Linked DNA regions of Caenorhabditis elegans. The protein of the gene in region 1 interacts with the protein of each later gene in a pairwise test. Each region holds a gene or a part of one and is shown on either strand. Other genes may lie near its edges.

Region 1 (4,892 bases):
AAAAACTGCTAAAATGGAAAATGCTGCAGGAAAATTCAATTTTTCGGAAAAATTGCTTAAAATCTAAATATTTCAGGTAATCATTTACTATATATAAAGCGCTTATTCCGTTTGTCCATAGTTTGTAGTCTATGTAGTCTTTGTATTCTGTGACGTTTTGGCTTCTGGAGGATAGTGAGTTGGGCTTAGTGTAGGGATATAGTCGGGGTACTGTAGTGGTACAATAGTGGTACGGTAGGAGTACTGTATGATTACGGTAGTTTCAGAAAAATTAGTTTTCAGCCCCAGAAGTCGGGGGCTGCGCCGAAGGTGCGGTCCACGGCTGGTTTACAATAAATTTTTATTTTTTTAAGTGAAAAATTGCTTTTAAAAAAAGTGATTTTTTATGTAAATTGCAAGAAAAATATTTTTTAGAAGAACAAATGCTGAAAATCTGGATTTTTGGGTGAATTTCTAAAAAAATTGATTTTTCGTGAAAAAAAAAAGGGTGAATTAGTTTTTTTCCATAAAAAAATGCTGAAAATTGAAACCTTTCGGGTTATTTTGAAGAAAATTGTATTCTTTTTTTGTGAAAAATCGCTGAAAATCGGGGTTTTTTGGGTGAATTTTCATAAAAATTAGATTTTTTTTCGATGAAAAATAGCTGAAAATCGGGGCTTTTCGGGATAATTTCAGGAAAATATTTTATTTTTTGAGTGAAAAAAATTAGAAGACGATTTTTTATAAAAATTGCAAGAAAAATGATTTTTAGTATTTAGGAAAAATGCTAAAATTCTGGATTTTTGGGATAATTATTTGTTTTGTGTTTAGGTGAAAATTGCTATCAATCGAGATTTTTTGTGTAAATTGCAAGAAATCTACTTTTTTCTACTTTTTTTGGTGAAAAATCACTGAAAATTTGAATTTTTTGAATAATTAGCAAGAAAATGATTTTTTAAATGAAAAATAGCTAAAAATCGTGATTTTTTAAAAATGTAATTAGCAAAAATCATTCTTAAAGGAAGAAAAATCACTGAAAATCCCGATTTTTTGGATGAATTTCCATGAAAATCTCATTTTTTTGCTAAATTTTCCAAAATCCATACGCGATATCGAACCAAACATCAACATCAATTTGCTGCTCGACTTTATTCGTTTCTTCCGGCTCTTTTTGCAAATTTTCAATGAACAATTCCTTCATTTCCATAATTCTTTCTCTGGATTTCGACGATTTCCACGGCAATTTTCCATGTGTCCAATCGTAGAGCACATAGAGCATCATTTCCATCATATCCAATTCAGTCATTCGATGAGATTGATCTCGATCGACAAAAGAGCGCGGCGCGTAGATCAAATCTCCGGTTTTCCAATGCAAATCTATAGATTCGGCTGTTCTGAGATGAATCTCGTCGATGGCACGGTGACGTTTGTCAGAGGAGACGGTGATCTGCAAATTTTTGGAATTTTAGTATGAGAAAAATCGATTTTTAACGAGAATCTGGGGTTTTAAATGCATAAATTGTTTATTTTAAGAGTCTGAAACCGAAATTTCTTCCAAGAAATCAAAAATTTGATTAATAAAAAAATAAAATCGAAAAAATAAACTCGAATTTCGACTGAAAATTGCGATTTTTAGTTTTTTTCAGTAGAAATTGTTTTTTTTTGACGAAGTATATGTTTTTAATAATTTTTCTAAAGAAACTCGCTGTTTTGCGGAGTTTTTGAAACCAACAATGTTGATTTTCAGACGATTCTGGGACTTTTATTCATTTTTCCCAAAAATTTCAAATTTTTATGGGGTTATTCAAGTAATGTAGCAAAATGTATTTAAATACATTTGTGACGTCACAAATGTATTTAAATACATGTTTTTATCTACTTGAATAAGGTTGTGACGTAATTTTTCTACACTTTTTAATTTTCCGACACTACTTGAATAACCCCATTAGGTAAAAATTGCTGGAAATTGAGATTTTTCGGGCAAATTTCAAGAAAAATAACTGAAAATTGGTTTTTTGTGGATTTACCGAGAAAATACGTTTTTTATGTGAAAACATTGCTAAAAATCACAGATTTTTGTATAATACGAAGAAAATACGCTTTTTCGGTGAAAATTGCTGAAAATTTAGATTTTTCGGGCGAATTTCAGGAAAATTACTGAAAATCGGGGTTTCTTGTTGTATAAATCCAAAAAATTAAGTTTTTTATGTGAAAACATTGCTAAAAATCGGCGATTTTTGTACAATTCCAAGAAAATACGCTTTTCAGGTGAAAAAATGCTGGAAATCGAGATTTTTTAGGTGAATTTTTAAGAAAATTGGTTTTTTCGTGTAATTCCGAAAAAATGCGTTTTCTAGGTGAAAAGTTGCTGAAAATCGCGATTTTTCTTGCAATTTTTTAGTGGAAATTGTTATTTTAAAAGCGGAAACATAGTCCGTACATCAGTAGCATCGGCCAAATAAAACTGCCTCGTTTTGATATCCAACATCCATTGTTTCGAGTCGAAATTTCTCAAAACCCATCCGGAAGCTGACAGAATTTCGATAGCAGAAATCATGTCGACAGCGAGGAAACTGGCAGTAGTTACGGACATTTTATCACTGCTCAGACATTTTAAAAGATCATGTAAAGTGGGTCCTGCACGGATTCTGACGACCATGAAGAAGACGTGATTATTTATGATTCCGGCATCAATTAAAGCGGAAAATCGATGAGAATAGCCAAGTGACGATTGCTGATGATAGAAATCTACTTGATTCGCGATGGTTGTCACGTTGTCCTCGCCGATTTCCAAGTAAAGAATCCCCTGAAAATTCGAATAATAATTTTTTTTTTACTTTTTTTTTTTTTAAATTTAATTTTTTTTAATAACTCACAAATTTCTTGCACGGCTTGTCACACACAAGATAACAATACGCGGCTCCTCGTTTCTCCTTTTTCTCCAAAATAATCCATTTACCATTAAAAAGCTTTTGCTCCTTCAGACCTGCCAAGTCCTCATCGGTGAATCGATGCTCAATGTTTTCTAAATCGTGTCCTTTGCGATTTCTGTTCATTTTTTACCTGAAAAGTTGATAAACTCACAAGAAAAATGGTGAAAAACAAGTAAATTTAGGCAGGAAAAACGAAAATTTAAATATTTAAATTTAAAATTCGCTGCCATCGAGAAAAGCGCAAGCAACACGAGAAACGCGCTAGCAGTGGTAGCTGACGCAACTTTCGTTATTGACGATTAATTTCAAAAACATGTTTTAAAACAATTAAAAATGATTTATTTTGAGGAAAAAACACACAAAAAAAATGCTTTTGAAGAAAAAAACATAAAAATTAAGAGCTTTCCTCGGTCAAACTGGAGAAAGAAGCCACCAAATTGGCGTTTTCATCTAAAATCTGCCGTTTCTTCCCAGTTTTCTTCAACAACATTTCAAGCTCTTCCAGCATCTTCTTCTGCTCCTGCTCCATTCGTTTCTCCTCTTCAACACGTTCGCCAAGCGATTTGCGTTGCTCTTTGAGCATTTCCACAACTTTTTCGATTTCAGCGCTTTTATCATTCCAATATTCGCATTTCTCCTCCTCTCTGTCACAATCCAGCTTCAAATCTTTGAGTTGTTGCTGAAAATGTTTCAATATTGCTTTAAACATTTTCAGATTTATTAATAAAAACCTTGTGCAAGTGGCGACGATAGTCGATTTCCTCCCGCATTCTCTGAACAATCACTCGCTTTTCCGCGAGTAAATCCAGACTTTCTTGAATTTCAGCAGAAAGTGTCGCGGATATTTCCATCGTTGTGCCCATCTTAGCCTTTTTCAGCTTCACCTGAACAAAAAATTGCATATAATATTAGTTTTCGCCATATCTTACGCGCATGGTCTCGTCACGCGGACAAAAGGTTACTTTTCATTGTGATAATTCACGGGTCGCTATTACAAAAACACTAAATGCTGAGAATGCGTATTATGCAACATATCTGACGGGCAAAGTATCTCGTAGCGAAAACTACAGTAATTCTTTAAATGACTACTGTAGCACGGATGTCGATTTACGGGCTTTTTTTTATTTTCGGAAACATTTCTCGGAAAATTCGGAAGTTTTTTTTGATTTTCAGAATCGGACCAGCGCTACAGTAGTCATTTAACGAATTACTGTAGTTTTCGCTACGGGATATTTTGCGCGTCAGATACGTTGCGCAATACCCATTCTCAAAATTTAGTGGTTCTTTTTATAGGTTAGTGCCCGTAAATCGACACGAGTTACAGTACCTCGTTCACAGCGTGGTGAGACCCACATAATTTTTTGACGACTATGTAATACCTCATTCATCATCTCCGACAAATGCTGAGCCCAGGCGGTGACGCGACACGAGATGTCCGATTCGCGACGTCTCGCCTTATCCACGCGATCCCAAAGTTCGGTGACCTGCGACTGAACGACATCGATCCGATTGCTCAGTTGCAGCTTCTTCTCCATTTCCAGCTCGAGCTTGTGCTCCAGAAGGCGACAACATTCGTCGACATCGTGCTCGTATTCGGCGACCGATTCGCTCTGAAAAAAAATCACTTGAACTTTTTCCGAATAGAAATTTCGCGCGGAACCCACCGTAATCGACGTTGTCAGGGTCAACTTCTCGCGAATCACTTTGATATCCATTTATCGATTGATTTTTCGGAGAAAAATATTCGGAAATAAATTCAAATGTCGAATAGGTTCCACATTTGCCACGAGAAATTTGAATTCTATGGAATATTTTAAAATCAAAATTTTGAATGTTCACGCTGGTAATTAATTGATTTAATAAAAGTATAAAACTTGATTTTCAAGCTCTCTGATCCGTGTACTCCCCGAGGAGAAGTTTTTTTTTGGAAAAATTCTGGCTCTGCTCCTATGAGTCATGCCTCTCATCCGAAAAAAATTC
Region 2 (4,906 bases), on another chromosome or scaffold:
TGCTAAAACAATTTCCAAGTGAAAAAATTATGTATTCATAGGGCAAGCAGCGGTGAAAGTGGTCAATGCAATATGATGGGTTACGGGAATACAAAACCTAAACTATTTCTGAAACATGATACATATGCTGTTTAGATGCTAAAAGTACCTGATTATCATAACGAGACCGCTGAAAAAGTTTTGAGATTTCCAAAATTCAACTTTTTTGGTGAAAAAGTCGAGATTTTCGCACAAAAAGTTGAATTTTGAAAATCTCAAAACTTTTTCAGCGGTCTCGTTATGAAAATCAGGTAATTTCAGCATCTAAGCATCATATGTATCATGTTTCAGAAAAAGTTTGGGTTTTTTATTCCCGTAACCCATCATATTGCATTGACCACTTTCACCGCTGCTTGCCCACTGAATACATAATTTTTTTACTTGGAAATTGTTTTAGAATCTGCAAAAAGTATTTATTCATCAGTTTTAATAAGAAAACACGAGAAAAATCTGTGAAAAAAAAAGAAAACAGGCGGAAAACAAAGCAAGATAAATGGCCGCTGAAACTTGTCGGCCCCTCGGCCATGGCCTAGAAACCACTTTTCCTCGTCCCTCGTGAGGAAAAAGTTGCAGTGAATCAGTTGAGAACTCTGCCGCATTTTTTGTAGATCAACGTAGATCAGTCCAAAATGAGACACTCTTACACCACATATTCGCATGGTTAAGAACGTGCTGACGTCACTTTTTTTTGGGCAAAAAATTTCCGCATTTTTGTAGATCAAACCGTAATGGGACAGCCTGGCACCACGTGGAATCTCAAATTTTCTGAAAAATTTTTTTGGCGGGAATTAAAATATTTTGAGGACATCCGGTTACACAGCCAACGGGGTCAAAATCACTGTATATTACTCTATATCTCCTCTTTTCTCGTACTTTCTCAAATTCTTTCTCGAAAATTTCCCCCTATTTTCTCCTCGTGCATCATCAGAAAAATACAGAGAGCGACGATCCCCCCCCCCCCCCCCCATCAACGTTCCCAACAATTTATAAAATGTCTGTATCTCTGTATCTCTCAATCTCTCACTGTTTTTCTCTATGCCTCTCTAATATCTCTCTCCATGACAACCGTCTAACCATCTAAACTCTCTACTGTCTCTTACTGTCTGCGCCTCTCTCTTTCTCAGTGTTTCTTCTCTGTATCTCTCCGTCTCTCTAACGCACTTTCTCTATGTTTCTCTATTTTTCTCTATTTTTATGATTTTCTCCCCAATGAATTGTTGTTTTTTTAGGAGATTTTTGCAAAGAATTTCAGATATTACTGTATATTTTGGGATTTTTTTTCTAGAGAAATGCGAAAAATTGTGTGTTTAAATGTTTTTTGTACCCTAAATGTGTCCTAAATTCGGAAAAAAAATTCCAAAATTTACCGGTTTTTCGTGGAAAATGTGGATGGGAATTTGGGTTTTTGAAGGTTTTCTTTTTTTTTCGAAAAAGAAATCCAAAATTTTTATTTTTTTTTTGTGACTTTTTCACAAAAATTTGGAGGAAAGGGAGTTTTTTTTTTCAGAATTTTTTGAAATTCTAATAGAATTTTTGAAAACCGAAATTTTTTTGTTCAAAATTTGGGAAAATCTGTATAAAATTTTCTAATTTTTCAGAATTTTTAGCAGAAAAATGTTAAAAATTTCTAAATGTTTTTGAGGAAAAATTGATAAAAATTCGGATTTTCGAATATTTTTCTAAATTTCTAAAAAAAAATTTTCTTTAAATTTCGTTAAAAATCGATAAAAATTGCGATTTTTTTAAAATTTTGTTCTCTGCCAGTATATCATTTTTCCACATTAAACTCCCCCATAACTCCAATATTTCCAGAAAAAAATGTCTGAAAATTCGACGCCAAACCTTCGAAGATCCAACCGAACAATGGTACCAACAACTCCATTTACCATTGAAAATACACCTGTAGGTAGAGGAAATTCTGGTGCTAGAAGTCATAAGGAGGTAAAATTTGAAAATTTGACAAATTAATACATTTTTGAAATTATGAAAAAAAAAAAAAAATTTTCCAGATTTTCAAAATTTTTTTAAATTTCTTCCAAAATTTCAGCCAAGCGCAAAACGTAAAAAACCTACCAGTACCCCTACCGTAAGATGCGGTACCGTACCCCAAGAGCCATCCACTTCAGCAGCTACAGTAACCCAAAAACCAGCGGGATCCACCATGGCCACTGCAAACATCACGGAAACCAGGAGAATTGATATAAGCAGTTGTAGTGATCGGGTTAGTCAAAAAAAATCAATAAATTATCGATTTTTTGAAAAAAAAACATTGTAAAAATCGAAAAAAATTGTTTTTCAAGATTTCCAAAAACAAAATCTTAAAAATTCGGAAAACATTTTTTTAAACCTAACACGTGGTGTCATAGTGTCCCATTTCGGTTTGATCTACGTAGATCTACAAAAAAATGCGGGAGAAGAGACGCAGAGTTTTCAACTGATTTCGTATGGTTAAGAACGTGCTGACGTCACATATTTTTGGGGCAAAACATTCCCGCATTTTTTGTAGATCAATTCGTAATGGGACAGCCTGGCACCACGTGATCTAATAAATAAAAGTATTTGAAAAAACCTTCCAGACAGTTTTTTTTTTGAAAAAAAAATTTTTTCAGGAATTTTTTTCTAAAAAAAATCATTAAATTTCTTTAAAATTAAAAAAAAAAAAAAAAAACATTTTTTAACGTTCAAAATTCCGAGCTTTCCGAAATTATTTTTTTCAAATTTTTAAATAAATTTTAGTACAGTGCGTGCAACTTCTATAGCGCCCCCCTATTTTTTTGCGTTTCAGGCCATTCTAATTTTTTTCTTGAAAAACTGACAATGCCATTCGATTCCAAATGTCGAAAACCCCCTTTTCCAGAATTTTAATGAAAAAATCACGAAATCTGATGTAATTAGGTCAAAAAATCGTAAAAACAGCCGTGCAACTTCTATAGCGCCCCCTCAGAATTTTGAAAATTTTCCAACAAAACCCCATTTTTGGTCATTTCTAGAGACAACAAAATAATAAAACGGAGCCAATTTGATCCCGACATCCTACTGATTTACTGTCAGCAGAATATTATACGTAGAAACTCTTAGGATCCCGTAATTGTCCTGAAACTCTCCATTTTGCGTTAGAGGCCCGTTCTCGGCTCCCAGTGGTGGGATCGGCTCCAAAACTGACGAAAATGTTCTGATACACTCATGGACACATGTCTGAAAGATTTTTCACAAATTAACAGAGTTGTAGGTTGTGTGAAACTTGTATCAGATTGAACTATTCGCCCTTCAGTATCCAGAAGTGGACTGAAATCAATTAAAACAACAATATTTATTAACTGGATGAAGGATCAATACTTCGTGGGACCTCCCTTCTTGGCGATGACTTCGAAAACTCGATTGGACATTGAATTGACGAGATTCTTCATTTCGGCTGCGGAGATTTCTTTCCAAGCATCCTCAATACCAAGTTTTAGTGCAGCCACATTTGGATACTGTTTTCCATTAGCGTAGACAATTCTGACAAGCGATGCCCATAAGTTCTCGATTGGATTGAGATCCGGTGAACAAGCTGGCCACTTCAACAATTTGATCTTTTTGCTGTCGAGAAAAGCACGGGTTGAAGCGGCACTGTGAATACTCGCGTTGTCTTGTTGGAACATCCAGCCTTTCTTTGACGGATGTCGCATAAACTTGACAAGGTCTTGGTCCAAAACTTTCTGATAATCAACTGCATTCATCTTATGACTTGTAAATTGGATTGGCAGCTTTTTTTTCTCCGAAAACGCTGCCCACACCATTACCGATCCACCTCCAAAATTTCGCTTAGAAAAGATTAACGGATCCTTTCTCAGATCTCTCCAGTAGTATCGATTGCCATCTGGACCATCCAGGTTGAATTTCTTCTCGCCGGAGAAAACAATCTAAAAAACTCAACAGATTTTATCTAATTGTGAAATTGTTCAACATACCTTGGTCCATTCGGTTCCCATATTTTCTTTGGCAAAATCCAATCGCTTTATCATATGATTTGGAGTCATTGATGGAGCTTTCATCATTTTCTGGCGCGTGATCGATGGGTTTTTGTTGAGAGTATTGATAATGGTTCTTTTGGACGCTGTTAATTTCAGTTCCTTACGAATTTCGTTGGCTGATTTGAAAGAATTCGAAGCAATTTTATAGATGTTCCCTTCATCACGACTAGATAAAATTGTCTTCCGAGGAGCTCTCTTGGCTTGTCCATAACCAAGTGGATTGTTAAGGTAATTGTAAACACATTTGCGGGATCGGTTGATTTGACGAGCCATTTCATTTTTAGATACATTAAGACTTGCCATTACATCAAGCTTGGCTTGTTCTTCGACTGACAGCTGTGAACCTCGTGGCATTGCGAATAAAAGTAATGAACAGCATTTTTGGCATCCGATTGCCACTAATGGACACGTCACACGTTAAAAAAAAACAAATTTCAGCAATTGTTGAGTGTATCAGAACATTTTCGTCAGTTTTGGAGCCGATCCCACCACTGGGAGCCGAGAACGGGCCTCTAACGCAAAATGGAGAGTTTCAGGACTATTACGGGATCCTAAGAGTTTCTACGTATAATATTCTGCTGACAGTAAATCAGTAGGATGTCGGGATCAAATTGGCTCCGTTTTATTATTTTGTTGTCTCTAGAAATGACCAAAAATGGGGTTTTGTTGGAAAATTTTCAAAATTCTGAGGGGGCGCTATAGAAGTTGCACGGCTGTTTTTACGATTTTTTGACCTAATTACATCAGATTTCGTGATTTTTTCATTAAAATTCTGGAAAAGGGGTTTTCGACATTTGGAATCGAATGGCATTGTCAGTTTTTCAAGAAAAAAATTAGAATGGCCTGAAACGCAA

Evidence for each region.
Region 2: the proteins of prde-1 (region 1) and Y53G8AM.8 interact in a two-hybrid assay, tested with the Caenorhabditis elegans proteins (one large-scale study listed by BioGRID).

The regions. Positions count from the first base shown.
Region 1 is NC_003283.11:15,536,401-15,541,292, reverse strand, and holds the start of prde-1 (piRNA biogenesis factor prde-1), read right to left. Parts: upstream 3,050-4,892; 5' UTR 3,036-3,049; coding exon 2,856-3,035; intron 2,786-2,855; coding exon 2,420-2,785; intron 1,427-2,419; coding exon 1,086-1,426; intron 1-1,085. Other genes in the region: F21A3.4 (Trichohyalin-like), read right to left, coding at 3,307-3,591, 3,644-3,796, 4,292-4,522, 4,577-4,627. UniProt on the Caenorhabditis elegans protein: Nuclear factor required for the production of piwi-interacting RNA (piRNA) precursors. Specifically required for piRNAs produced from loci associated with the Ruby motif. Promotes binding of the transcription factor snpc-4 at piRNA genomic clusters.
Region 2 is NC_003281.10:3,275,656-3,280,561, reverse strand, and holds the start of Y53G8AM.8 (HTH CENPB-type domain-containing protein), read left to right. Parts: upstream 1-1,851; 5' UTR 1,852-1,857; coding exon 1,858-1,980; intron 1,981-2,086; coding exon 2,087-2,260; intron 2,261-4,906.